Linked DNA regions of Elephas maximus indicus. The protein of the gene in region 1 interacts with the protein of each later gene in a pairwise test. Links are inferred from orthologs where the notes say so. Each region holds a gene or a part of one and is shown on either strand. Other genes may lie near its edges. The genes, in order: TNIK, GSE1, myomegalin and MYT1L.

The links.
Region 2: the proteins of TNIK (region 1) and GSE1 interact in a two-hybrid assay, tested with the Homo sapiens proteins (2 studies listed by BioGRID and IntAct). The link is inferred for Elephas maximus indicus from reciprocal best matches to the Homo sapiens genes TNIK and GSE1.
Region 3: the proteins of TNIK (region 1) and myomegalin interact in a two-hybrid assay, tested with the Homo sapiens proteins (2 studies listed by BioGRID and IntAct). The link is inferred for Elephas maximus indicus from reciprocal best matches to the Homo sapiens genes TNIK and PDE4DIP.
Region 4: the proteins of TNIK (region 1) and MYT1L interact in a two-hybrid assay, tested with the Homo sapiens proteins (2 studies listed by IntAct). The link is inferred for Elephas maximus indicus from reciprocal best matches to the Homo sapiens genes TNIK and MYT1L.

Annotation. Positions count from the first base shown.
Region 1 is NC_064841.1:29,026,701-29,033,682, reverse strand, and holds the start of TNIK (TRAF2 and NCK-interacting protein kinase), read right to left. Parts: upstream 3,015-6,982; 5' UTR 2,989-3,014; coding exon 2,932-2,988; intron 1-2,931. UniProt on the Homo sapiens protein: Serine/threonine kinase that acts as an essential activator of the Wnt signaling pathway. Recruited to promoters of Wnt target genes and required to activate their expression. May act by phosphorylating TCF4/TCF7L2.
Region 2 is NC_064839.1:51,006,271-51,013,116, reverse strand, and holds the start of GSE1 (genetic suppressor element 1), read right to left. Parts: upstream 3,017-6,846; 5' UTR 2,696-3,016; coding exon 1,283-2,695; intron 1-1,282.
Region 3 is NC_064821.1:159,487,943-159,495,902, forward strand, and holds the start of myomegalin, read left to right. Parts: upstream 1-4,954; 5' UTR 4,955-5,103; coding exon 5,104-5,339; intron 5,340-7,960. UniProt on the Homo sapiens protein: Functions as an anchor sequestering components of the cAMP-dependent pathway to Golgi and/or centrosomes.
Region 4 is NC_064830.1:10,882,781-10,889,915, forward strand, and holds the start of MYT1L (myelin transcription factor 1-like protein), read right to left. Parts: upstream 3,023-7,135; 5' UTR 2,833-3,022; intron 1-2,832. UniProt on the Homo sapiens protein: Transcription factor that plays a key role in neuronal differentiation by specifically repressing expression of non-neuronal genes during neuron differentiation.

The DNA.
Region 1 (6,982 bases):
CAGTTTCCTATGTGCTAAATGAAAACAGTGGCTGAACTCTCCACAATTCCCTTCTAGCTCTAAATCTATGAAACCATCCCCCCACCCTCCCAGACTTAAGGCTTACCTTTGTGAGCTCTAGAAATCGGAACTAAATAAACCGGATTTGAATTTTCTATTTTCTAACCAAAGAAGATTCTGCTTTCATCTCACTTTTAAAAACCATCCAAATCTTGCATAATTTAAATGATCAGTGCTGTCATCGGTTGCTCTGGTGTAAATTATGCATTGTTACTATTTGGGGAAAATTTAGACTGGGTCCAGTCTAGGATCACTGGCTGAGAACAATAAGCCCCCAAAATGAGAAGGGACTAAAGGCCTCTCCAGACAGGATCTGGTTTTAATGCACTGAGCCCAGGGCTTATAAAAAGGGCCTTGACTGTGTACATTGAAGAGTCACTGAAACAGCATGGGACCCAAAGACTGCAGCTAATTCTCCTAGAAGCCACTGACCTTGGCTGCATTTCAGGGGTCAGGCATTCCTCAGGAGGTTCTCAGCACCAAAGCTCTTCTGAGGGTTTGGGAACGAATGAGACTTCTCAACTAGATGAGCCCACCTCTCCTAATTTGGGAAGGCAGATATGATCTGCTCTCTGATTTGTGGAGATTACCTATGTGGCCTTTGAACCCACTCTCGGCTGGCACACCCCACCTACCACAAAACAGTCCCTGACCCCAGCCCTCCAGAATGCAACTGTTTCCACACCTACATGCAAGTCCTCCAGCCAGCAGTGCTCCAGTCTCTAGGGCCAGCTGTTGCCCTCCCTGCCCACACCTCGGGGCAGGCAGAAAAACAGGCAGACCACTAAGCCGGCAGCCCAGGCCACAAAGAGCAATTGCAGTGAGCCGTAGAACGGTATCTTTTCGAAATACAGATCTCACAAGCCCTGGTATCCTAATGTGAAGTGTCTCCAGGCCAGCCCAGCGAGCCCTCGTGGTTCTCACAAGCCTGCAGGCTCTCTGCTCTCTATCTCAGAAAACCTTCCCCAGAAAAAGCCCACTGGTGACAGGTCAAAGCCTAACTTAAAAATCACAACACAGTATTTCATTAGAGGAGTGATGTAGATGTCTCGATTCTGGCTTAGGGAAATCACCACAAGCCTTGCCCATTGTCTGAACCCCTCTCCTTTTACAATTTCCCCCACCTTGAGGTCTGGCCCATACATCTACCTGCTTAACCCACCGGCAGCTACTCCTAGTACAGCAAGTAGGACAAAAGAACACACACAGTCCATCAAACAGGAGGACAAGGACTTGGTCAAAGCACCCACCCTATTACTAACTACCCCCACCCCCAGCTGCCCGGAGGCAGCGGGTTCTGAACATGGCATTTCAGCCCCAGGGAAATCACTTACTGTAATAACGCACGAATGAGCTTTTGCTACCCAACTATCAGTACAGGCAGTTTCAAACGGCCCCCCTGTTCCTTCACAACCCCCGGACTGCCTTCCTGAAACCTCATCTCTTGAACTAAAGTGGAGGGGGGGAGGGGGGAGCCGAGTTGGAACAAAAAGGAGGGAAAAAGGAGGGAGGCTAAGGAAAAAGTACAGCTTTGATAACAGTAGTCGCTCTTAAAATACCCTGGAGAAAAGAGGCAATGTCAGAAGTACTAAAAAGACTCAGGTAAATGGTCCCAAGATTTAGCTTCGATCTAACAATGTGTTCCTCAGTAGGGCGTGTGAACTTCAATCTTGCGTGTCTCGGTGTTGAGAGCCACCATCAATTTAGCCTCACCCATCCACCATGTATCAAATATATCTAGTCACTGTTATTTTTCAAGGGGGAAGGGTTCAAGAGAAGAAGTCGTCCTTAAATTGGTGCCCAATCTTTTCCCCCAGACCCCGCTGCTGCCGCCACCCCCATCCCTCACCCTCTTCCCTGCAGGCAGCATCTAATTAAAATGGCAAGAAAGCTCTGCCCCCTTCCCTTGAGTGTGTCAGGATTGGGGGTTGGGGGTAGAGAGGCGTCGAGGCTGCACTGGGATTCCTGATATTCTGCTCACAAAACAACAGTAAAATGGATTCTATACCAGTGATGTCTTAGTCAATACAATGAAACTGCGTCGGAGGCAACTCACGTGAAGGTAAATTCAAACCAGTGGGGCTGGGGGGAGGGAGGTGCTCTACAAAGAACTGGCCACAGACAGAAGGAAAACACACACACACTCCGGGAGTTCCGGTGTGACTGGAAAAAAGCGGAAAACACATCCCTTTCACCTGCTTAAGTTTAGCCATAAAGCTGAAATGTCACAGCCCCAAAGTCAGAAACCACAGGCTGGGCTGAGTTAAAACCACAAATAAAGGTGAGTGGCAGACGGGCGTTTAAGGGTGCGCCCAGAGAGGGCCGGGGCGCGGGAGGCAGGAAAGGGGAGGCTGAGGGCCGTTGCCATCCACAAGGCAAGCACAGCAGTAACTGCCCCCGTGGAGCGGCAGGTTCGGCTTCGTGGGTACAGTCAGGCTCACAATGTCATCTTGCAGGTAACTGGAAAACGTGAGGCCAGTGCCTTTATTCACGCTGCTTTTTTTTTTTTTTGCAGAAAGGGGCAGCCGGGTGTCGCGCCTTGGCACGAGGCGACCGCCCGGGGTGTCCACACACACACCGACGAGTCTTTCATTTTAAGGCTCTTACACCCGTCTACGATAAACTGGCGTAAGCTCCACGCGCTCTCGGGGGAGCCTCGGTCACAGCCAGAGGGGGACACGTACCGCACAGACCCTGCCCTGGGGGCTCAGCAAGAGCACCTGAGCAAACCCCGAAGAGAAACGAGAATCCACGTTCCCTCCCGTCGCATTCTCTCGCCTCTGCCCACAGCGCGAGCCCCGGTCCACGCGCCGAGCCCGTTCACCCTGACCTAACCCACCGGGAAGAAATCAGAAAAGGTGTTCTGCTCACCCTCAGAGCCGAGAGATCGATTTCATCCAGGCTGCGAGCCGGAGAGTCGCTCGCCATGTCTACTTGTTCGCCGGGAAATGGACCAAAACCCCTCCGAAGCTTCTGCCCTGGAGATTCCACCTTGGTCTATCTCACTCGCGTCTTCATGCGGGTGCAGCGCCAGAGGCCCGGGCCCAGCCTCCTCCGCCCACCCCGGCCCCACAGCGCCGAATCCCGACCCTCGGCGCGGCCGTCCGCCGGGTCCGGGAGCTCGACCTGCGCGGATCTCCAATCCCCAGCCGCGGTGCGTGTGGGCTGCGCGCCCTGATCGGCTAAGGGCGCTGGGGCTGCGTGGGTGTATTTAAATGGGACATGCTTCTTTGCTTGTGCGTGGATGGCGGCTGCATTGGCTGTTATAATGAGACACATCAACTCCTCCACTCAGCTGGGGGAGTGGGGGTGGAGAGCCACACAGAACTGTCTATCACCGCTTCCTGGGAGGAGTAAAGGGGGAGAGAGAAAAAAAAAGAGGTGGAGGAGGCGTGGTCTCCGGCGGAGGAGAGGCCGCGCTTCCTGACCGGGTCCCTCTGCACCAGCGTGCATGGGGGAGGGGCGCGCACCCTTTCCGCCCCGGCTATTGCGGGCCAAACCGGCTGGACCCGAGTGCCGTTCCGGGACGCGGACATGCCTATCGTACAAACAAGGAGGCTTTATTTGTGTGTGTCCAATGCGTGCGCTGCAGCAAATGGCCCGTTCAATCGCATCGTGGGGTTTCTTGGAGGGACTCAAATGATCTGACATTGAAAAAGCCAGAGAAAAAAAGAGCGACGTCCTCCCTCCCCCATTAGTTATTTGTGGGGCTGGAGTAACGCGGACTGGTGCAACCGGTGCATATAAGGACTTGTGTGCTTGGAAGGGGATCCGCCCCCAGCCGCCGAGCGAGTGGGGGAGAAGCGCGCACGCCTAGCTTGCCCAGCGCCTGGCTTCGGCAGTTCACAGGGGCCGTGGGGTCGGGTCTGCCTGCGGCCACTGGGACCGCAGATGGCCGTTCCCGGGTGCGGGTCACTGGCCGCTTCGGGTTGCAAAGGTTTGCCAGAAGCGGGAAAACTGGAAGATCGGAGCTCCCTTTTGGCATCGCCACACCCAGGACCGGCCCCTGCCGCAATTCCCCACGGAAACGACCGAATTGAAACGAGCTTTTTCTCTGGGTGCAACATCTTGAATGCTTCAGGTAACTGTCCAAAGCCAACTCTGGTTTAGGCAGCACACGCTGCCTCAGGATTTCACATTGCCGTTTCAGGCAGCGTTTCTGCGGCTGACCTACCGGGATTGATGGAGAAAGTTGGCTAGCGGATAAAATGTGCCATACAAGATGGAAGCGTGGGAGCGATTTCACTTCACCCGCTTTCTCCTTTAGAGGCTCAATATTTACAGTAGTAAACATGACATTCTGTAATCAAGAGTGTGAAGTCACTTCCCCAGGTCCCCATTGCAATCCTTCCTCTCCGGCCTTGGCCATACAAAATTAGACGTATCCGAAGAAAACGCTAAAACTGAACTTTTTTTCAAATACAGCAGTAGCTTTGAAAGTATTCTCAGGACCTCTGCTAGGAGAATAATTTACTTCTGGCCAAGGACTCTGAGGGTTTGTTTTGTTTTCTTGTTTTTGTTTTTTATATGTAGTGTGAATATCAGCTTCAGAATAAGGCTTTCCAATGAATGGATGGAAGCCAGTGCAGTTAGTACATCACAACTGCAGACAGAGGGCTTTTAAACCGCATTCGGTGTGCACCGTACGGTTTTTGTTGGTATTACTGTATTCATATGAGTTATAAATCATGCACCATGGAACTTGAAAATTTCTCCAACATCTCTATGGCCACAACTGCTTGGGAGTTTTTGCCTGTAAACGTTACACGTATATCAAATGTTTAAACGCATTATATTCAAACACTTGATTTTTACCTCTCATTTTATAATGAAATCATCCAGCTTTTTGTAGTAGCTGGCAGTAAGCCACCAAGTAATGTTGAAATGAGCTAAAGAACTATCATTTCCCATCATTGTTCTTATTTTTCCCTTCTATTTTTTTTTTAACCTTCTTCTAGATGACAGGTTAATGTATTAGTGTTGAAAGAAAATAATTAAAGGTCAGATCTATAAATAACAATTTTTAAAGCTCCAAACAACAAAAAAAAATGGGTTAAACATTTGTTTTCATGGAGAGTCTTGATTTTATAGTCCAGATTTTATTTGAGACATCACAAACAGATCTTTTGGCTTTAGTAAGCTGTTCAGGCTGTAGGGTGCCCTGTCCCTGGCACTAAATTCTACCCTTGGATTTGTAGTTAGATTTGGAAATTTAGTGATGAGTAGTTACAGAAGAGGATTGCTTCCTGGAAGCCTGAGGGGATGGGCGCGAGAGCCAAGTGGAAGCAGTGGTGCTGGGCTACAGGAAATACCATGAAAGGGAGGATTACGATAGCAAAGACACCTCCAGCTGGTAAGAGAAGATAAAAACACACACACACCCATTGCAGTCAAGTCCATTTGGACAGGGTAGAACTCTCCATATAGGACAGAGTAGAACTGCTGCATAAGATTTCCAAGGCTGAAATCGTTAAGGAAGCAAACTGCCACATCTTTCTTCTGCCAAGCAGCTTGTGGGTTCCACCTTTCGACTTTTTGGTTCACAGCTGAGCGCTTAACCACTGTGCCACCAGGGTTCCTAAAGATAAACTCCGTAAGTTATGGTTTCTTGACTTACAGGACATTGAAACCAGTTGCTGTCGAGTTGATTCCAATTCATAGCGACCCTATAGGACAGACCTGAACTGCCCCATAGGGTTCACAAGGCTGTAATCTTTACGGAAGCAGACTGCCACATCTTCTTCCTGCAGAGCGACTAGTGGTTTTGAACTGCCCACCTTTCAGTTAGCAGCCAAGCACTTAACCATTGCGTCACTGATGAAGAAAAAAAAAAAAAAAAAACTAGTGCCATCGATGATGAAGAGGAGGGGGAAATTCCGAGCTGTTTGTACTGCTGGAGGTGAAGGAAGAATGGTGACTTAAGGCTGGAGAGGCCAGCAGCGGTCAGATCAGGTACTGCTTTGTATGCTCCCTGGAAGAGCTCGAACTTTACCCTGTAGGTCAAGTGTGTAACAAATTTCAACCATTCCAGTGCTACTTTCATAATTTTTTGCCAGGTCTGTGTGCTGCCTTACTGTTGTTATTAACATTTTTTTTTAATTGATACATTTCTTTTTTCTTACATTTAATCTAAAAGGAAGCGTAAATTGCTACTGTAAATGGAAAGCTTGCAAAAAACAAAAAAGAATACCATTAAAATAAAAATAATGGAAAATAAAGCAGTATTATTATTAAATTCTAGCTAGCTGGTTTTTTTTTTAGTCATTGCCTGCCCCAGGCTTTTAGCCTGAGGGTCTGCCTTTACTTTGTTAAGAGAGAGATTAGCAAATGCCAGAAAAGGCATTCAAGACTTGAACCAAAGTGAGATTTTCCTCCTTAGTTTAATCTTAAAGACTGAGATAGTTGATACCATTATGTATGGTTTTAAAGTCTGAAGACCAATATGTTTATGTCTATATAAATATGTAGTAAACTATAAAAAGCATGGACACAGACAGGAAGGATACAGGTCAACTAAAAGATAGTGAGAAGGGAGAAAGGAATGGAAGAAAGAGAAGACTTCAACAATGACATTTAGTTTATTTATAAAAAAAGAAAGACCAAGCAAACATGGCAAAATGTTTGGAATTGTTAAATCTGGATTATTAGTAATGGGTATTCATTATAGTGTTCTCTGTATTGTTCTGTTTATTTGAAATATTTTTATATTTTTAAAATTATAAACAAGAAAGAGGAGCTCAAAGGGGATTATGTTCTCCTTATTAGGGTAAATGTTATTCAATATTGAATCTATGTACCACATTTTGGAAATCAGAAACACTACTGTGGAGTTTCCAAAAGCAAACCCCCTGTATCTTCTATCACCACAAATCCCTAGATATTCTTTAAAGAAGAAAAAAATCTTTAAAATTCATCAAGGTTC
Region 2 (6,846 bases), on another chromosome or scaffold:
AGGTGACCCCGGGGCTGGCTTGCCACACGCCACCAATGAGAGGTTCGGGCTCCAGGATGGGAGACGATAGGCTCGGTTTAAAATCAAAGGCTGTCCCATCGGAGCCCCCAAAGACAGCCTTAAAGCACAACCCAGGTGTCAGCTAGAGAAGGAGACCTGGGCGATCCATGAAGGTGTGGGACCCTGCAGACCAAGGAAGCAGGACAGATATGTGGTGGGGACACCACCTTACACAGGGGGCCGCTGTGAGTACACATGTACCAGGGTCCTCCGCTTATGTGTGCACACACGTGGAAGGTGGGATCAGAAACCTTTCGAAGGGATCAAAGGATCGAACCACCTTCCTGAATAGGATGGGATGGCCTGCCCCATCCACATGCCCCTCCGCCGGCTGCTGGGTCAGCGTTTCATGACAGCAGCACCAGCAGGTATTTGAGTAAAACAAGCCAGCCTACCCTCTTGGGCGGAAACTAGGCTTCACGGCCCCCTAGGCCACGCATGATTTCGACTCACAGCCATCCTCTTCCCCAGACCCCCAAATCCAAAATTAATGGAGCTCCTCCAGGGCAAGCAGCCGAGTGAAGGCAAGCGCCATATAAACAGGGAGCACCCAGGCCTCTGCTACCACCTCCCTCCCACCCCGCACAGCTGACTGGCAGAGAAGAAAGACTCTTCCCACCAGGGAGAAGTCTGTTTGGGCCACTGTCTCCCGCGTCCCACACCCCCATGTCTGGAAACACATTTCCATCTGCTGTTAAGCAACCAGAGAGTCTCAAAGGGAAAGCGTGGACTGGGTGGCGGGGCGGGGGGGGAGGTGGTGGAAAGCTCAGGCGCAGCTAGAGTTAGAGCGGAGAGGAACTTCCACCCCTGGTATGCTCCAAACATGGTAAGTGCCGAGACCTCTCTGTGACCTGCATGGCTGGACTAATTACCAATGTTATCAGGCAGATGACAGACATGCCCTGAACTTCCTCTGTTTGATAGATTCCGCCACAAACACGCTGCTGCAAAAACGCCCAAGCTCCTTCCCATGCCTGCTGTTTTCAGCAGTGCCCGTTCTTCCACAGACCACTCCTGGTCCCTCAACTTCTCTGACCTCCTACGTTGTGTCTCCAAGCTCTGCCAGGCCAAGGAGCCAACCAAGGGCAGGCAGCCTGGTGACCTCTCACCATTACACACCACGCAGGACCAGCACAAACTGCAGAGAAACAGAAAACACCGCTTCCTTCCCTGCACAGGTTTCTAAGGAAGGCTTTAAGATGAGATGAGAACCACCGCTTACCTTTGTCACCACTGGCACTGGGGAACTCCAGCCGGTAGGCCCCTGACGGTTGGGCCCTTGGCCCGCACACACTAGAGTCCCGCACTCCACACAGGCACCAATGATCAGCTGCCGCCCATCGTCCACCAGCAGGCTGTGGCTCGCCCGCAAGGTATAGAGGAACAGGGGTAGTCGGGCCACTCGCACAGCCTTCATTCCTAGACAGCGCTTCTTCTCCTGCTGGCAGAAGAAGCACACAAAGGTCTCTACCTGGTACTGCCGAGACCAGGCACTGATGGCATGGAGGGCACCACGGGCCTCATGCTGAAGCCACTGACCCAGCAGGTCGTGGTAGCAGAGCACACAGGTCGCCACCAGGCCGGTGGAGTCCACAGGCCTGGCTCTTGGGGCAGGCGGGTACACAGTGAGGAAGGGGAAGAAGGGCTCCTTCTCACCCAGGCAGCTGGAGGGGTTCACATTGAGCTGAAACTCCTTCCCAGGGCCCAGCTCAGCCCCGCAGATGTAGCAGACAGATGCTGGGCTGCCCTGGGCTGCGGTGGGCGGCTCAGAGATTCCTGAGTCAGACGCAGAGAAGGCCTGGTGGTATCTGCCCAGGAAGGCCTGCACGGAGGTGATGAGCTCCTCATTCTGGCAGGCCCGGTACAAGGCCCAGACATCCTCCAGAACGCTGAAGCACTTGGGGCAGCTATGGACCTCACAGAGCTTGTTGGGGGCCCGTGCATTGGGGGGGCAGGGCAGCAGGCTGAGGAAGGGGAAGTGCATGGTGCTCCTGGTGCTGCCATTGAGGATCCTGGAAGGCACAGCTCGGGCATCCTGGGTGCAGTCCTCGCCACAGAGGTAACAGGCCTCCCGAAGGGCTGCGGCAGGCACACCCTCTTCCCTGGGCAGCCTTCTGCCCTTGGAGGCCATGCCCGGCGCACGGCTGTTCAGAGGCACCACGTACAGCCGCTGCAGGACAGGGACACTCGCCAGCTCGAAGCTCTGCCACTGCTGCATGAGAGAGGTGAAGCAGCAGGCACACACCAGTGTGCTGCCTCCAGGACTGATGGGACGTGCGCCTGAGGGCGGGCTGTGCAGCCACAGGAAGGGGAAGAACGGGGCCTGTGCCAACTTCTCCTGCTTTTGCACGTGGATCTGGTGCTGCGACGCCGCCGACAGCGCTGACCCACAGATGTAGCAGCAAGGTCCCTCCGGTGGTACCACACGGCTCTCCGGGGCCCCCCGGGGGACCCGGTCACTGTTGTCCTTCTCTTTGGGGCCGCAGGGGGCAGGGAAGGGCTGCTCCTTGTCGTCCTCTTCCTCGCTGGTGATGTTGATGTCACTGTCTTCAGAGGTGCAGTAGCCCCCGTGGGTCTCCCCCAGCAGCCTGCTCTCTGGAGTCTTGGTGGGCCTGCCAGAGGGGGGCCCTTTCATTCCATCTGCAGCAGGCGCTTGGACTGGTGGGTCTTGCCAAGTGCCCTGAATGCCCCTCAGGACGCTGGCCCGGGCCTCAGGGGCCCAGTGCCTCCCAGTCCCCCTCCGCCGGCGCCCGCTGCCGGTCCTGGGCTCCCCGCTCACGTGCAGCTTCGCAGGGGCCCCCTCCTCGTCCACGTCCCCCTGAGCGGGGGGCTCTGCGCTCTGTCCCAGAGGAAGTCCCGGCGCCGGCCTCCACTCCAGGCCGCGGGGCCCGCGAGGGCCTGGCCCCGGGGTGCTCCGCGGCAGCGGCGCCCCGTCCTGAGCCGGACTGACGGCGTCGTGCGCGCCCGGGTCGGGCTCGGAGAGGGGATCGGTGTCCGACAGCTCGGACAGCTCGGAGTCGCGCGCCTCGTCGGCGGGCGCGCGGGGCCCGGGGCCGCCGTCCTCGTCGTCGTCGTCGCCCGCGCCGGCGCCCAGCGCGTAGGCGACGTTCCACTCGCGCGGGGCCCCCGCGCCCCCGCGGCGCCCGCCCGCGCCCGCCTCGCACTGGTGCGGCCGCTTGAGCCAGTACATGCGCTTGTCCACTGGCGTGCGGGCGCGCTCGAAGGCGGCCCACTGCTCTCCCAGGAAGCAGCGGCACACCGCGCACACCAGCACGCAACCGTCGGCCGGCGAGAGCTCGCGCGCGCCGGGCGCCGGCTCCTGCTGCTGCAGGAACGGGAAGAAGGGCTGCGCCGGGGCCCCCGCACCCGCCGCCGCCGCCGGCTGCTTCACCTGCAGCTTCAGCTCCTTTCCGCGACCGATGCCGCCGCCGCAGATGAAGCAGGAGAGCGGCGCGCCGCCGCCGCCCGCCGGCCGCTCGGCCAGCGCTGCCATAAGCCGCTGTTTGCGGGAGACCGGCGCCGCCCGCCCGCTCATCGCTCACCGGCAGCCGCGGGCCCCGCCGCCTTGCCGCCCAACTTGGACCATGAGCGCGCGCCGCAAAGTTTGGCGGCGGCCGGCAGACGCCGGGCGGGGCGCGCGGCCGCTCGCGGGGGCGCCCCCCGGGCCTGCCGAGCACCCGGCGGCGGCGCAGGCCGAGGCGGCGCCGCGGCGAGCGCGCCCGGAACGCAGCGGCGGCGGTGGCGGGCTCCGGGCGGCTGGAGCGGCAGCCGCATGTGCGAGCTCCGGCGCCTGCCAAAGCGTTGGGTCATTTAATTGGGGAGGAGGGAGACGGGCGGGCGGGCGGGTGGGCGGGCAGGGAGGAGGAGGGCAGGCGGGGAATCCCTCCCTCGCGCGCTCCCTCCTCCTCCTCCTCCCCCTCCCTCCGCCCTCCTTCCCTCCTCCCGCGTCCCAAACTGCGCACAATAGCTCGCCGGCTCCACTATCTATTTTGTGTCCAGCCCCGGAGCCGCGCACAATGATTCATTGCCCCAATTAGGGGCTCTCTCCAGCCCGCCCGGCTAAAGCCGTCTGAAGGGCCTCCTCAGGGACCCGCCGAAGCCCATCAGCGGCCAAGGCTGGTCTTTAAGTAAAGGTCAAGGAGGACGCAGAACGCCAGAGGAACCAGGTAAGGACGCCCCTGGAGACCGAGGTGCATCCGCAGATGAAGGGCAGCTCCCGGACGGAGGCCCCCCTACCCGCTCAAAAGGGGGGCGGGGGCTGAGTGAGGGCCAGTTACTAGAAGCTGAGCAGCCTAGGGGTGAGGGAACTTTTCAGGCCCGGCTTTCTAATTTTGGAGACAGAGAAGAGGAGCTGTCCTGGAACACGGTTAGTGAAGCATCAGTCTGGGGGCCCAGCCAGGCCCCCCGTCCCCCCGCCCCCCGTGTTGACCAGAGGCCACTGGATCACCACCAGAGGCAGAAAAGGTCCTATGTGTCTAGGGGCAAGGGACTCAACCTGTCTGAGAGTCTTCCCCCCTTCTGGACAAACAGGAACTGCAGCAGAGGGTAACTGTTTCCAGTGCATTTACTGAATATGTGTATAAATACAGTGAGTTTATTTAAGGAACACGTAGCGAGAGACCCTACTGTGTGCTAGGCCCCATTCTAAGCGCTACACATATTAGCTCAGTTACTTCTCCCAATAACTCTGAGTTGGGTGCTGTGGTCAGCCCCATTTTTGAGATGGGAAAAATGAGGCATAGAGGGTTAATGTGGGAAGTGGTGGGGCTGGGATTCAAACTCAGGCAGTCCAGCTCCAGGCCCCTGCTCCCAACGATCTGGCTGTGCAGCCTTGATGGGCACCTGACATATCTGGTCCGTCATCCATGTGCTGATAGGCCATCCCCATCAGGGAACATGGCCAGGACTCCTCCGTTCTCCCTGCGGTCCTGGCTCAGCCTTGGGCAAACCCAGGCCTCTCTGGTCCTCACATCTCCCATCTGTGAAATGACGCCCCTTCCAGCTTCAAAACTCTGTGAGCCTCTGATTTCCAAGCAGTTGACAGCTGTCCGACCTGGCAGCTGGAGCCCAGAAGTCGGCCTGGTGACAATGGTGCCAATTGGCCCCTCCGGCCTCTGGGGCGTTGACTTGTAAATAAAACTGGGCTTCCTCTTGGCACAAAGGAGGCCATGCATTATAAATAAACAGAGCAAGAGAAAAGGGCCACCTCTGTGGAATCCCACGTGGATACTCCAGGGGTCACAGTCCAGAGGTTAATGTGAACATCTTGGCCAGAAATGCCCTCATAGTGGAAAAACGCTGCGTCAGCAAAACTGTCCCAGAGGAATGTCAGGGGCAGGGCAGGAGGGCAACAGGAGGGGGCTGATTAGGAAAATGTTAAAGGGTGAGGTCTGTTCAATTGTATCCCCACACATTAAAGGGGGACTGGCCAACGTCCCTCTCCCCCCACATATACACGCAGAGGGGCTGCTGGTAAAACAATGCCGAGCTTAGGAGATCTAGGTAGGCTGGGGAGTTACACCTGGATCCCACAGGGCTTGGCAGGGCTGTCCCTCTGCCCAAATGCTTTCCCAGGCTCTCTTTGCCAAGCTGCTCCAGCTCATCTTTAAGGTCTTGGCCGAAATGTCATCCCAAGAGACTTCCCTGTCCACTCCCCCTAAAGGGAGGCCTCCCCGGTGACCCTTTGTCTCTAGTCCTTGGCATAGGAATTTGCCATTGACTTTAATTATTTTTTCTGTCTGCTTGTTCCCCATCCAGCTCCCCCGGGAGGCTGGGTGCTCCCTCATCCAGGGCAGGGACCAGTCAGTTCTGCTCACTGTGTATGTCCAGTGCCTGGCTCAATGCCTGGGCCCCACACACCGACCTCTCATGATTTTTTGAGCAGATCAAATGAGGTAGAGGGAGTGATGCCCTGGCACAGGGGAGCCGGCATGCTGTTGGTGACAGTGCATGTCCCTTCTTGTCTCACCCAGTGGTAAAGGAGGTTCTTCTGCTGTCTGTCTGCACTCCAGGGGGCAGGGGGTGCGACTGTGATGAGGTTGTGCAGAGTCTGAGGGAGAAGGGCCACAGGGGTCAACTGGACAAAAAGTGGGAAATGGGATTTTCTTGGCTAAGCTGGAGATTCAGGAGAACTACTGGATGTGTGCCACGTGTATGCGAGTGCATCTGTGTACATGTGTGCATGTGTATGTATGCATGCATGCGTGTTCATGTCTGCATGTATGCGTGCATTCATTGTGTGCATGTGTGTGTTTGTGTGTTATTGTGTGCATGTATGTGTATCCATTATGTACGTGTGTGTGCACGAGTATATGTGCATTCATTGTGTTCGTTTACATGTGTATGTGTGCATTCATGTGTGTGCATGCATTCATACGTGTATGTCTCTGTGTGTGTGCATGTACGTGTAAAGTGGGCCTAGAGCAGGGGTGGGGAGTGCTCAAGTGGATGTTTTTGCTTCTCTCAATGACCCAGTGATTCAGAAAATCCCTGTCTCAGGAACCAGCTTGGTGGAGCTGGGACTTGAACCCAGGCTGTGTCTCTGTAACCCCCTGGTATGTGAGCTATTAAGATTAGCCTTGCCCTAAATTCTGAGGCGCCAGCTGGATAGGACAAGCATGGCCAAGAAGGTCCCATATCCCCTCTCCCATGTTCCCATTTTCACGCCTAAGGAAATAAGGGCTTCACAGATTTGAGTCTTGACACAAAAAAGGCTGGGTATGGGTGAGGAAGATGAGGACAGCATGCCAAAGCTCGTTGGTATTAACGTCACGTGCCAGAGTAGAC
Region 3 (7,960 bases), on another chromosome or scaffold:
CAGTAAAATTTTACTTGCGTGTGATATTAATGATATTGTTTGATAATATCTACATTCTGTTGAATCATCTTTCTTTGGAGTGGGCACAAATATGGATCTCTTTCTGTTGGTTGGCCAGGTAAGTGTCTCCCAAATTTCTTGGCATAGATGAGAAAACACTTCCAGTATTGCATCTGTTTGTTAAAACATCTTGATAGGTATTCTGTCAGTTCCTGGAGCCTTGTTTTTCACCGGTGCCTTCAGTGCAGCTTGAGCTTCTTCCTTCAGTACCACTGGTTCTTGATCATATGCTATCTCTTGAAATGATTGGATGTCGGCCAATTCTTTTGATATAGTGACTGCATTCCTTCCCTCTTCTTTTGATGCTTTCTGCATCATTCAATGTTTTTGCCCATGGAATCCTTCAATATTGCAACTTGAGGCTTGAATTCTTTCAGCTTGAAAAATGCTGAGAGTGTTCTTTCCTTTTGGTTTTCTAACTTCAGTTCTTTGCACATTTCATTATAATACTATGCTTTGTCTTCTTCAGCTGCTTTTGAAATCTTCTGTTCAGCGCTTTTGCGTCATCATTTCTTCCATTATCTTTAGCTACTGACAACCAAGAGCAACTTTCAGAGTCTCTTCTGACATCCATTTTAGCCTTTTCTTTGTTTCCTATCTTTTTAATGACCTCTTGCTTTCTTCATGTATGATGTCCTTGATGTCATTCCACAACTCATCTGATCTTCAGTTGTTCGTGTTTAATGTGTCAAATCTATTCTTGAGATGGTCTCTAAATTCAGGTGGGATACATTTAAGGTTATATTTTGACTCTTCTAGACCTGTTTTAGTTTTCTTCGGCTTCAGCTTGAACTTGCATATGAGCAATTGATGGCCTGTTCTGCAGTCAACCCCTGGTCTTGTTCTGACTGATGATACTGAGCTTCTCAATCATCTCTTTCCACAGATATAGTTGATTTGATTCCTGTGTATTCTATCTGGTGAAGTCCACGTGTATAGCTGCCATTTATATTGTTGAGAAAAGGTATTTCCAATGAACAGGTCATTGGTCTTGTAAAATTCTATCATGAGATCTCCCATGTTGTTTCTATCATCATGGCCATATTTTTTAACTCCTTGTCCTTCTTTCCAACTTTTGCTTTCCTATCAGCAGTAATTATCAATGCATCTCAATCGCATGTTTGATCAATTTCAGACTGCAGAAGTTGGTAAAAGTCTTCAATTTCTTTATCTTTGACGTTGGTGGTTGGTGCACTAATTTGAATAATAGTCATATTAACTGGTCTTCTTTGTAGGCATTGGATACTATCCTATCACTGACAGCATTGTACTTCAGGATGGATCTTGAAATGTTCTTTTTGACAACGAATGCAATACTGTTCCTCTTTAATTTGTCATTCCTGACATAGTAGACCATATGGTTGTCTGATTCAAAATGGCTGATTCCAGTCCATTTCAGCTCTCTAATGCCTCGTATATCTATCTTCAAGTGTTTCATTACATTTTTGACAACTTACAACTTTTCTGGATTCATACATTCCACATTCTGATTAGTAATGGATGTTTGCAGCTGTTTCTTCTCATAGCACATCAGCAAATAAAGGTCCTGAAAGGTTGACTCTACTTTGAGGAGGCAGCTCTTCCCCAGTCATATTTTGAGTGCTTTCCAAACTGAGGGGCTCATCTTTTGGCACTATACAAACTGTGGGACTCATCTTCCAGTACTGTTAGACAGTGGTCCACTGATGTTCATAAAGTTTTCACTGGCCAAGTTTTTAAGAAGTAGACTGTCAAGTCCTTCTTCCTAGTGTTTCTTAGTCTGGAAGCTCTGCAGAAACCTGTCCACCATGAGTGACCCTGCTGGTGTTTTCAATACCAGTGGCATAACTTCCAACATCACAGCAACATGGAAGTGACCACTGAATGACAAACTGACAGACAACTGGTGGGTCAATGTCTTACTGGGCAGTAAAGCTATAACCTTTGATGTTATGCTTTTTTTTTTTTTATGCAGACAGAAATGACTTGCATCTTTCCTGAATAAAAATGATTTGCAATTTACTAATCTTCTACAAATATCTAAATTCAATGAGTCTGGATTCTATTCAATAGCAAATAGTAAGTCAGGTGAAACTATGGCCCCAAATAGGCAGATGAACAGGATTATTAGCACTCTAGTATGATCTTGAATGGACGCTTAATGATCCTTTTGACTTATCTTAAAACTTTAGATACTTTTTCTTGAGTATGAGGATTATCACACTCTCAGAGATTCTGATTCAGTACTTCTGTGGTGGGATGCAGGAATCTCCATTTTAAACAAACATCCTAGGTGATTCTGACACGAATAGCCTATGGATCCTTCTTTAAGAGAGATTGAAGGTGGTAGCCAGGACTTTATTTAGGATTAGTGGTTTTCTTCTAGTTCAGAGACTTTTTTAATGCCAAGAAATTGAAAGATTGATGCGTTAACTTACTGAGAAAAAGCTAACAGTCTCCATTTACTTCATTAGGGTGCTGTGCGGCCCTTTTGAAGCTTGTATCCCATATTTAGTGTAAGTCTAAGCTTGAAGGAAAAATGGCCAAAAATCCAACTGTGAAAGTACAAGTTCAGTACTTAGTTCATTTATTAATAAGTATCAGTGCTTAATCATGCCTGCCATGAAGCAAGTGTTCAATAAATGTTACTAATCACACTAAACAAAACACCCTTCATCATCAATTCATTAAGGCCACCAATAAAGCCATAACCTCACAGAATTTATTGAGCCTTTATTTTATTCCAGGCGTGCTATCAGGTAAATTTTTTTAATGTTTATTTACTTTTTAAACATTTATCAACACTTATTGTGTGCCAAGTGCTTTGTAAGATGTTGGTTATACTGAGTGAAAAAAGACCTAATCTTTGTCTTTAAGAAGTTAATAGTCTAGTGGAAAAGATAAATAAGTGAATCTACAACAATGGTGTGTTAAATGGCAGAGATGTGCTTTGGGTGCTGCTATAGAGGCATAGAGATGGAGCACCTACATAAGGTTAAGGGATCAGGAAAGGCTTTCCTAAGAAGGTAACACATAAATTGCTTTTTAAAGGGTAAGTAGGAGTTAAATAGGTCTCTGGGTGGCACAGAAGGTTTGTGCTTGACTATTAACCTGAAGACTGGTCATTTGAACCCACCCATCATCTGTGGAAGAAAGGCCAGGTGATTTGCTTCAATAAGGATTACAGCCAAGAAAACCCTATGTAGCTGTTCTACTCTGTAAAACACATGGGATCACCATGAAATTTAATTGACTAAACAGATCTGCGTATTAGCTCAGATAGTAGAGTGCTCGCTTAGCATGCAAGAGTTGGCGGGATTGATACCTGCATTGTCTAGTTAGAAGCCCTGGTGGCATAGTGGTTAAGAGCTACAGCTGCTAACCAAAAAAAAAAAGGTCAGCAGTTCGAATCCACCGGGTGCTCCTTGGAAACCCTATGGAGCAGTTTTACTCTGTCCTTTAGGGTTACTATGAGTCAGAATCCACTCAATGGCAATGATTTTTTTTTTTTTTTAACACCAATGGGTTGTTTTCTTTTTCTTTTTTTGGGTTTTAGGAGTTAACTAGATAAAGAAGGTGGAGACAGGTATTCCAAGCAGAGTAAACAGGAAATGTAAGGCAAGGAGGTATGGAAGAGCCTGATTTAGACCCAGAGAATTAGATGTAGTTTACTGTGGTTAGAATGAAGGTAGTGGAGGTACAGGATGGAAGAAAGAGATCAGTGGAAGAGGAGGCCAGAAAAGATGGCAGAAGCCATTCAAGACAATCCTTGAATACTAAACTAAGTGGTAGAACTTTATCACAAAATCTCCAAGGAGCCATTGAATGGTTTTAAGTAGGTGAGTGTTTCATGAAGAGGCCTCTGGAAGCAGTGGGAAGAAGGGTTTGGAGGTGGGCCTTAAGAGAGGCAGTTGGAATCACGATGGGAGCGAACACTTAAAGATACAGATATAGTAAAGAAATAGAAATAACAACTGGATGTGGTGGATGAGTGAAAAAGATAAAAGTCTCTGATCACTACCAGGTTTGAGGTTTGGGCAGCTGGATGGATGGGAGTGCTGGGGTTAAAAAACAGAGGACGGAGTGACAGGTTAGAGTGGAAGGATGGGTTCAGCTTGGCTGTCACTGAGTCATTCAACAGTAATGGCTATTGCCTGTGAACCTTGGGATGCGTGGTATCCAGCTGCCCTGTGGATTCTATGTAGGCCCTGTGCTACACAGAATAATGTAGTAGAGTCATTCTGTTTTGCTGTACTCTCGCTGGTCTCTGTTCCTAGAGGACATATGGAATAGGAGAAAAGGGTTTAGCAGAGGATTTATTTGACCTATGACCCCTTTCTTTTTTTCCCAGATGATAACAGTCCGTTGACTTGATGGTGGATACCAAGACATATTCTTTACTATGATTTCTTCATGAAAAATGGCATCACAAAGTCTCAGCTGAAAGGAAAACTGGGGTTGTTTAGCAGAGAGTTATTGACAATTACTAAAGGGAAAATGAAAGGAAATGGAGACTTAAAAAGAGGGAGAAAGGGAAGAAAGAAGGGGAAAGAGGCTAGCCAACAACCTGGAGAAGTGATGAATTTGAGGAGAGATTAACAGAGAGAAAAAAGCGGATAAAAGATAAGAGGATAACAGATTTGGGCAAGGAGGAAGACAAAAGCCAGGAAAATATGTAGAGAGGGGGTGAGAAAAGAAGGAACTCATCTGAGGTTGGAAATTGAGGAAGGTGGCATTGGAGCATATAGAAAAAAAAAGAGTGGGGTCTGGGAATGAAGGGATCTCCCGGTTGAGGTGGTGGGTGGAGAGAGAATGGGGAGGTAACAGAGGGTGAAGGGGCAGCGGCGGGTGTTTGCGGGAGCCGGACCAAAGCAATCTGGGCGGAGCAGGTGGCAGAAGCAGCGGTGAAAGGGCAGGATCCGGCCAGGTCTCCGCCTCAACAGTGGCAACTGGAGGGGCTGCTCATCCCCGGCCAGAGGGATGCGCCCTGGCAGCCCAGGAAAGCCATAAGAAAACGAAGCAGGAACGGAAAACAGGATTGGAGAGGCCAGGAGAGAAAAATTCATGAAGAGGGCCGACAGCGGGTCCAGCTGCCGCCGCCGATGTGACTGCAACGGTAGCTGCTGCAGCGTATCCCGCCGGGCGCAACACGCGCCTTACTGGGCCGGGGACGCCGGGCGAGCTCCCCCGTCCCGGCGGCATTTCCCTGGCCCAGAACGGCGGCGCTCCGAGCTGTCCTGGAGCTGGGCGTTGGCGGCCGAGGAGGAAGAAGCAGCCGCGGCGGCCGCACCCTGGATGAGGTGAGGGCTCCGCCAGCTTCTGGCGCTTGGAGACCAGGAGGATGCGAATCGCACCGGGCTGTTGGTACGCCATGCTGTGGGTAGGCTGAGGCTGCGGGCCGTGGACCCGGGTTCCTGGAAAGGGTTGTTGCAGAGTGACAGCTGCCTGGCGAAGGTTGGAGGGCAGGAGAGGTGATGGGGCCTGTGATGGGCACCAGAGGGGGAGAGGTGATGCGGTGTTGCCTAGAAATAAAGCGTGGGGCTGGACTGTTGGGCCTAAAGCTCAGGAAGCCTGGTCTCTATACCAAGGGCTTCCCTTGATATGTAGACAAGGCTTTGTAGCTGGAGGTGAGGTTGAAGGCTGTGCCTGTTGGGTCGAGCCAAAGGAGAGGAGAGATGAACATGATTCAGGAGGACATTCCAGGATGGAAGCCTTAAAAAGAGCCTTAGGGGCGGGAAAAGAAGATAAAGGATCAGGAAATGTCATGGGTACACAACTGAAAGAGTCCTCAGTGCCTTCTCTTGCACCGCCTTCTGTTTTGGATATTCATCTTAGATACAGACAGCTGGGTGGGGGTTGGTGATGGCTTTTTCTTCCTTGACCACCTCCTTTAGCCTGCAGGGCTGGAGCCCTGCCTGTTGGCTGGATCCCAGGTCCTGCAGGACAAGCTCCATTCTAAACCGGGTCACTTCCTCTGCTCTTAGAAGAGGGAACAGATTAGGGACAAATTTTCTTCATGTAGCAGCAGGATGAAAATCTGTCTGACATACAATTTTCTAGAGAAGAGAGTGTGCCTTTTTCTCAATAAGCATTTCCCTGGCGTAGCATTTTTAGCTTTCTCTTTCATGGGAAGTCAGTACAGTACTCATATAAACTACAAGGCAACAGTGGTTTCTGTCTCCAAGCTGCAATTAACTCGCTGGGATTTTAGAAAAGTTATTTAATTTCTCTAGGCCTCAGTTTCCTATGCATAAAATTGGGATTTGGGTTAAAAGAGTATCACAGAACTAAATAGTCTCTGGTTCTGTATTCTGTTTTCAGGACACTTTTATTTGTGAATGATGAAACTCTATTCACAGACACAAAGAAGTTGAAGGAATCCCTTGTCCTTAGCCCCTGTGCCAAAGGCAGGCTGCGGTGCAGGGAGCGGGTCACTGGGGAAAAGGAGGGAGGGGAGTGAAGGTGGGGATGGGGGGAAGTTGGGGATAAGGGGAAGGATGGAGTTCACAGGTGGCTTATGCAGACCTGGATGTGGCCTGTGTGTTGCAGTTTAGAAATTCACTCCATGGGGTTTTCAATGGCTGTAATCTTAAAAAAATAGATGACCAGGCCTTTCTTCAGTGGTACGGCTGGATGGATTCAAACCACCAACCTTTCAGTTATTAGTTGAGCACAAACTGTTTGCACCGCCCAGGGACCGTACACACTGACAATATGAACCAGTTGGTTAATGGCATCTGGACGTGGTGCTGAAAGGCCGAGGAGCAGGGAGGGCTTCACATAGGACATGAATCTTGGCTGGCCTGACAAGATATGAAGCCGGGGTTGGGTGGGAAGCAAATCCTAGCAGAGGAGCACTAGCAGGTGTATGGCCCTGGGAAAATGCCTTATTGGATGAGGCCTGTTCTGTGATAGACCTTTTCCAATGCTGACCCTCTTTCAAGTATACAATTATTAAAAATGAGGAATTAAGTGAGCTGTCAGATGGTGACAATCTGTCTCAATGTACTTATTTGAAGCATTGTAGATTCCAGAACACTTAATTGTGCTCATGAGGAACCTATACATAGACCAAGAGACAGTCATTTGAACAGAACAAGAGGATACTGTGAGGTTTAAAACCAGGAAAGGTGTGCCTCAGGGCTGTATCCTTTCACCATATCTATTCAGCAGACAGATGCTGAGCAAATAATCTGAGAAGCTGGACTGTATGAAGAAGAACTTGGCATCAGGATTGGAGGAAGACTTATTAACAACCTGTGATATACAGATGATACAACCTTGCTTGCTGAAAGGGCAGAGGACTTGAAGCACTTACTGATGAAGATCAAAGACCACAGCCTTCAGTGTGGATTATACCACAATGTAAAGAAACAATCCTTACAACTGGATCAATAAGCAACATCATAATAAGCAGAGAAGAGATTGAAGTTGTCAAGAATTTCATTTTACTTGGATCCACAGTTAATGCCCATGGAAGCAGCAGTCAAGAAATCAAACAATGTATTGCACTGGGCAAATCTGCTGCAAAAGATCCCTTTAAAGTGTTAAAAATCAAAGATAGCACTTTGAGGACTAAGGTACACCTGACCCAAGCCATAGTATTTTCAGTCACCTCATATGCATGTGGAAGCTGGACAATGAATAAGGAAGATGAAAAAAGAAACGATGTGTTTGAATTATGGTGTTGGCAAAGAATACTGAATATACCTTGGACTGCCAGAGAACACACAAATCTGTCTTGGAAGAAGTACAGCCAGAGTGCTCCTTAGAAGTGAGAATGGCAAGACTTCATCTCATGTGCTGTGGACATGTTATCAGGAGGGACCAGTCCCTGGAGAATGACATCATGCTTGGTAAAGTAGAAGGTCAGTGAAAAAGAGGAATACCCTCAATGAGATGGATTGACACAGTGGCTGCA
Region 4 (7,135 bases), on another chromosome or scaffold:
TGTCTTGCACATAGTAGGTACTTAATATGTTGAATTAATATATAAACAAGAGAATAAATGTGTAGCAGTTTGAACAGAGTTTTTAGAAATTCCAGAACATGTATCGAAGTAAATTTTTAGCTTTTTAAAAACTAAATTCATGGTATAAAATCAGCTTTTCTTTAAGTCAAATTAATAAGAGTTCATTAAGGAATGGTAGTGCATTCCAACACTGGAAGACTAACTCTGTTTAGAAAGCAGAGGTCGTGCAGTGAGATGAAAGACATAAGAATGTAGAACACTTTAAAAGTATTAACCTTCTCAAAAGCCCTAAACTGAACATCCCCCCAACCCCATTTTTTTTTTACTAGAAATTCATCTTAAGGAAAAAATTAAGAGTATAAAAATTTAAATCATTAAAACTTTTAAGAAGGTCATTTTGAAAGAATGGTCATTAAAACTGTTCATAAAGCAAAAATTTTAAAAACTTATAAAACTACAGTAAAGCATTAGTTAAATACACATTTGTATATCTATAAAGTGGAATGCTATACAGCATGAAAATAAGTATACTTATTGACCTAGAAATAAATGCATGATACATAAATTTAAAAAAAGGGGTCAAAACCAAAATACACAGTATGCTCCATCTTAATTTAAAAGTATTTATGTAAAGAAACCAGTCATGAAGAATTTTAAACTAATACATTAACTGTCTGCACTTGAATTTTGGAATTTTCAGTACAGTTACTTATTTTTTGCTAAATATGTATGTGTGTAGGTGTGCATATATGTATACACATACATATATGCATATATTTTTAATATTCTATATTTTCTACAATGTGTATATGCTAATTATGTAAAGAAAACAAAAGTTAAAAAAATTTCTCTCTCTGGTAGTTAGATATAAGTAGAAAATACAACACTTGGAGGATAAGTTACTGACCATATTGCCACCAAATGTAAGGGAGAGTAAAGGGATAATGCCTTGAAAATGTGTAAGTTCTGAAGAACTACAAATTAATTGTATAGTACATGGAGAACATCAGGTCCAAAAGATTGGTTCATTTCTCACAATCCTGATGGAAATTAATTTGTTTTATTAATAAGAATAGAGGTTCTCGATTCCAAACACTTAGAAAACAGGCTCGGAAAAGTCAGTATCTGTGTGAGGGTCACAGAGCAGGTGTGGGAAGGGCAGGAACAAAGGTCCCTGGACCATCAGGCCCCTGCTCTAGTTGCGGCCATGCTACTCTTCAACAGGCTTGAAAATTCGTAGTTTTGTTTCACTACAAAAAAACCCATTGCCTTTGAGTCGATTCCGACTCATAGCAACCCTATGGGACTGAGTAGAACTGCTCCATAGGGTTTCCAAGGAGTACCTGGTGGATTCGAACTGCTGACCTTTTGGTTAGCGGCCGAGCTCTTCACCTCTGCACCCTAAAGGAAACTGCTGTGTCAAAACTGGCTCTAAGCAAACAAACAAAAAAACCTGTTGCTGTCTAGTTGATTCCAACTCTAGTCCTTGGTAAATTCTTTGAAATCTAGTGATCTTGGGCCACTTATCCAACCTCCTTCAGCCTTGATTTCTTCATGTCAAAAGGGAGGGAGTGATATCTCCTTCATAGGGGTACTGTGAAGATTGAAAAGGAGCCTTGGTGGTGCAGTGTTTAAGCATTGGTCTGCTAACTGAAGATCAGCAGTTTGAACCAACAAGCAGCTCCGTGGGAGAAAGGCCTGGCAATGCGCTTCGGTAAAAATTACAGCCTAGTAAACACTATGGGGCAGTTCTACTCTGTCCTATGGGGTCATTATGAGTCAGAATTGATTTGACGGCAAGTGGGCAGGGTAAAGATTGAAAGGGATGATGAATAGAACATGGAGAAAATGTTGCCTGACACAAAGTAAGCACTTAACTACATGCTAAATGTTATTATTAATAATTTGCCTCTCCATGCATGTATCAACAGAGAAGTAATTTTACAAATTTATAACAGATCTAAAAATGTAACTTTTTGTCCTTTACAGTCTGAGTCTGTCAAATGTTTCATTATGACAGGCAAAGAGAATACCAGAATGTGTGAGTTTCGTCAGTCTGCTTATATGCAGAAGGTAGTTTAGTACTTTCCACCATTTTTTTTTTTCAGGGTTATTTATGCAGGTCAAATGAAAGACTATGGGTGGAAGTATTCTGAAATCTATGAAAACCTAAAAAACAAACCGGTTGTCATTGAGTTGATTCTAACTCATAGCAACCCTACAGGACAGAGTAGAACCGCCCCAGAGGGTTTCCAAGGAGCAGCTGGTGGATTCGAGCTGTTGACCTTTTGGTTAGCAGCCAAGCTGTTGACCACTGCACCACCAGTGCTCTGAAATCTGTGAGGCATCGTATAAATATTAGGAATAAAAAAATGAGTACAATTTAAAAAAATATACAATGATAAATATGTGTGCTTTTTGGATTATGTTCTCTGGTTGATTTCTCAAATATTTAGATTATATACAATACTCTTACAAGAAAAATTGTAATGGATTATGTATCAATTTAAATATGTATATGTAATCAACTGAACAATAAAATAAAATTGAAACATCTAAATATTTAAAACAATAATAGCTGGTAGAAAAAACTCAACTCCTCTATCAACTTTGAAACCGAATGGCTTCTTTCTCAATAGACCTAACTTGACATCAGTCATTACTGCATTCCACGTTCTGCTTGTTTTCAGGTAACATTCTTTACATTGCTCGTAAAATCACAAAATTCTATTTTTATTAACATACCACCCTCTATAGTTCTTCAAATGTCAAAGTTGATTGGACAGACATCCAGGAAATAACAGCACGTACCTTGTCCTCGGCAACAGCTTCTGTGCGTTCTTTCCTGCACATAAGAGAAGACATAAGGAATTGTTAGTGAAACTCCTAACCTTCCCTTCTGACATAATGGAGAATTAATAGCTTCTCTGTTTTTTCTGGGTTTTGAGAGATTCTCATTAAGTTAATGGAGGCTATCCGCACAAACCGCCACATGCACTTTAATTCAGCTGAGGGACAGTACTGGAGTAACCCATGCATAATGTACCTCCTCAAAGTTGAAGTGCTTTTACATAAGAGTTGGCCCTTTAATAACAAAGAGCAAGGTCAAGTGTGTGAAACCTGAGTCAGTCTCTAAGTCTCTGGCCTCTCTGCAAAGACCATCCACAAAGGGAGATGAGCTGGAGACTAGCTCAAATGCCAAGAACATCAGGTGGTAAATGCAATCGTGAACACAAGGTTCTAGATGTAGGGGAATGTCTCTTAGATTCAGATATGGCAGTACATGCTGGTTCAAATGAGGACCTCAAAATCTAGTTACTTGTGTGAAGCCATATGGTGACTGATTCTACAATGGAAATAATAGAAGATCAAAAAAATAAAAATGAAGAAGGTTGAAACGAGGAAGGATGTGAGTTTCCGGCATTTCCTATTTCCTAAATTTACATGGAAAGACTGGAGTGACTCGAGAAAAGGAAAATAATTTCTTTGGAACATTAATTCAAGTTTTTCTAACCACCAACCATATTCATTCCAATTTTAGCAGTTCTGTGGGAGGAAAAATGAAACATACAATTCCTCCACACTTTCAACTTCACATGTATTCTTTACCTCTACTTGGAATACTCTCCCCTCTCTCCTTTCGGGTTTGTCACAATCCTGCCCAGAAGTCACACTTCTATTTTGTGTGATGTTCCCAATGATAGTGAAAACAGTGATCGTCTTCATAACGACATAACAGCACCAGTAACAATAGCCTCCCTTACTGAATCTCTAACTAAGAGAAGCAAGACCATATGCTGGATAGTAGATGCTGTAGGTTCATTATCTCCTTTAATCCTCACAAGCAAGGATTACGATCCTCACTGTATAGTGTCTCAAATGTTAAGTGACTCTGAGACACACAGCTAGAAAATAGTTAGCTGTGACTCAAGACCAGGTCTTTCTGATGCTACAGTTTTATTTTATCAGGCTACTCTCCAATTTTTCAGACCCTCCAATACTTCAGTCCTGTCTTCTTCATCCTTTTAAAGAAAACATCTAATCTTTGTGAACATGCTGTGATTGACACATAGAAGCATTTGCAGATGCACACAATGACCCTTCCAGGACAACAATGTCACCCTTACTAAAATGTGGAGGACATTTCAGATCATTCAGAGTCAAATGAAGTATGTGAACACTTTAAGGCTCTTAGTATCGAGTTTCTGATGATTTCTAATAAATGAAATAAATAAAAAAAGGGGCCCAGGAGAAAATATTTATGGGAATTTCAGGCCTTGGGATCTTGCTTTGATAACTGAAAATGGCAGTAAATCTAGTTTTTAGTTGGGTTAGAGTATGTTTGCCTCTTATGAGTTAGGAATAAATGTTCTCGCAGTTTTAAGCGGCCCAAAATGGTTTGCTGTACTTGGGCAGGGCAAAGAGGTCATCTGTGGAGAGGGCTGCCCATGGACACTTAAGTCAAACTTAAGTCAAATGTAAGCGTTATACGTGTTTGCTTCTGAGAACTATGTCAGTATGCACATAGGCCTTAATTTTCTCTCTCATTTGAATTATTACCTGCAAAATGATGGGGAGCGGTGCATATAATCTTGAGAGGCAGGAAAGAATGAACAATTGAGAGGAAAAGACTTGGTGTTAAAAGCAATCTGTGCTAAGTTCTATTGTCCACATCACTTAGGTTGGGGGGAAAAAAAAACTACGGAAATATACAGACTTAATGCTCACGTTATCACATGAGAGAGACATATTGATCTCCAGATTTGTATGTATGTATATACATATATGTGTGTGTGTATTACATTTTTAAATCTAGAATGCCACTGCTTTGATTCATTTTTAGTGACATTGTTTAAAATATTTCAGATAAATATAAAAAAGACTACAAGATTTTTAAGTTTATCAGAGTATTGGATTAAAGAACATTGAGAAAAATTGACTGGACTATAAGTTATTTTAGATGTCAGATCCAATATCTTTTATACCTTTTATTAAGCTCTATTTTTTATACCACTAACATCCTGTCTCTATTAAAAAATAGTGGGTTTCACTTTGGTAAGTGGCACCTGGGGTCTTAAAAGCTAGCAAGTGGCCATCTAAGATGAATCAATCGGTCTCAACCCACCTGGAGCAAAGGAGAATGAAGAACACCAAAGACACAAGGAAAATATGAACCCAAGAGACAGAAATGGCCTCATAAACCAGAGACTCCATCAGCCTGAGACCAGAAGAACCAGATGGTCCCTGGCTACCACCAATGATAGCCATAACAGGGAACACAACAGAGAACCCTTGGTGGAGCAGGAGAAAAATGGAGTGAAGACCTCAAATTCTAGTAAAAAGACCAGATCTAATTGTCTGACTGAGACTGGAGTGACCCCAGAAGTCATGACTCCTGGACTCTCTGCTAGCCCACAACTAAAACCATTCCTGAAGCCAACTCTTCAGACAAAGATTAGACTGGACTATAAGACATAAAATGATACTGGTGAGGAGTGTTGTGCTTCTTAGCTCAAGTAGACACATGAGACTAAGTGAGCAGTTCCTGTCTGGAGGTGAGATGAGAAGGCAGAGGGGGACAGGAGCTGGTTGAATAAAAAAAAAATAGACATGGAAAATACAGGGTGGAGAGGAGGAGTGTGCTGTCACATTGTAGGGAGAGTAACTAGGGTCAGATAACAATGTGTTTGTAAGTTTTTAGATGAGAAGCTGACTTGAATTGTGAACTTTTACTTAAAGCACACACACACACACACAAAGAATAATGGGAAAAACACAGGAAAAAAAGTGGATTTAAGAGCTTTGCAGATGTACAAAAGTAAGTGACTTATTTTTTAAGAACCATTAACTAGAATAAGTCAGTCTCAATCTTCCTTTTTTGGTCTTTCTAAAATCTTAAATAACTTAATTACTGCAGGTACAAAAAATGACAGAATTTCAAAATCACAGAGTGACTTTTCATTTGTAAAATGATAAAATAGGCTAGATGAATTTTAAGCCCCATTCTGATCTCTATAATTAAGCTTTAGGCAGTGGAAGTTGGGAAACTTGGTCTTTAAATGTACATAAAAGTTTCGTTACTTAACAGTTATTTCATATTTTAAGTAAAATGGTAGTTATTTATGTGTGGATATCACCACTTCTTAAAAGGAGAGGAAGCGCTAACCATTTCATGGAAAGAATAGCAACAATGTGACTAAAATTTTAATGTTATTGTTGTTGTTGGGTGCTACCAAGTCAGCTCTGACTCATAGCTACCCTATGCACAACAAAAGGAAACACTTCCTGGTCCTAAGCCATCCTGACAATTGTTGCTATGTATGAGCGCATTGTTGCAGCCACTACGTCAATCCATATTTATTTCAACTTTGGAACTTAACACAGTGGAGATTTAAGTTTGAGCTGTATCAGAATTTAAGGCTTGACTTCAAGAATTTTCTGGTAAGGCATACAGCGCAGTCTAGGATATTTACTTGCCCCATTTTGTAGACTTCGCCCAAGCAGACATCAGCTATATCATTGGATATACCATTTGGTCTCATTATCTTATTATCTGAATTGTTATGATTCATTTCTGAACAAAGGGAAAGATGTATTTATGACATTTACAAAGATACCTTATAAATAGCAGCTATGTGCAAAGTAGAGGACATACATTGTTTCATCTAAGCTTTAAACTAGGTAGGTGAATTATAATACCAATTTTAAGACAACAAAACTGAGGCATGGGGAAGCTAAATAACCAGGATAAGATCATATAGTTTGCAAATAGTACAATTGGACTTGAACCCCAGCAGCCTAGTTTTGATGAAAATTAAAGACTACAGCCTTCAGTATGGATTATACCTCAACATAAAGAAAACAAAAATCCTCACAACTGGACCAATAAACAATATCATGATAAACGGAGAAAAGGTTGAAGTTGTCAAGGATTTCACTTTACTTGGATCCACAATCAACACCCACGGAAGTAGCAGTTAAGAAATCAAATGAAGTATTGCGTTGGGCAAATCTGCTGCAAAAGACCTCTTTAAAGTGTTAAAAAGCAAAGATGTCACTTTGAGGACTAAGGTGAGCCCAATCCAAGCCATGATACTTTCAACCACCTCATATG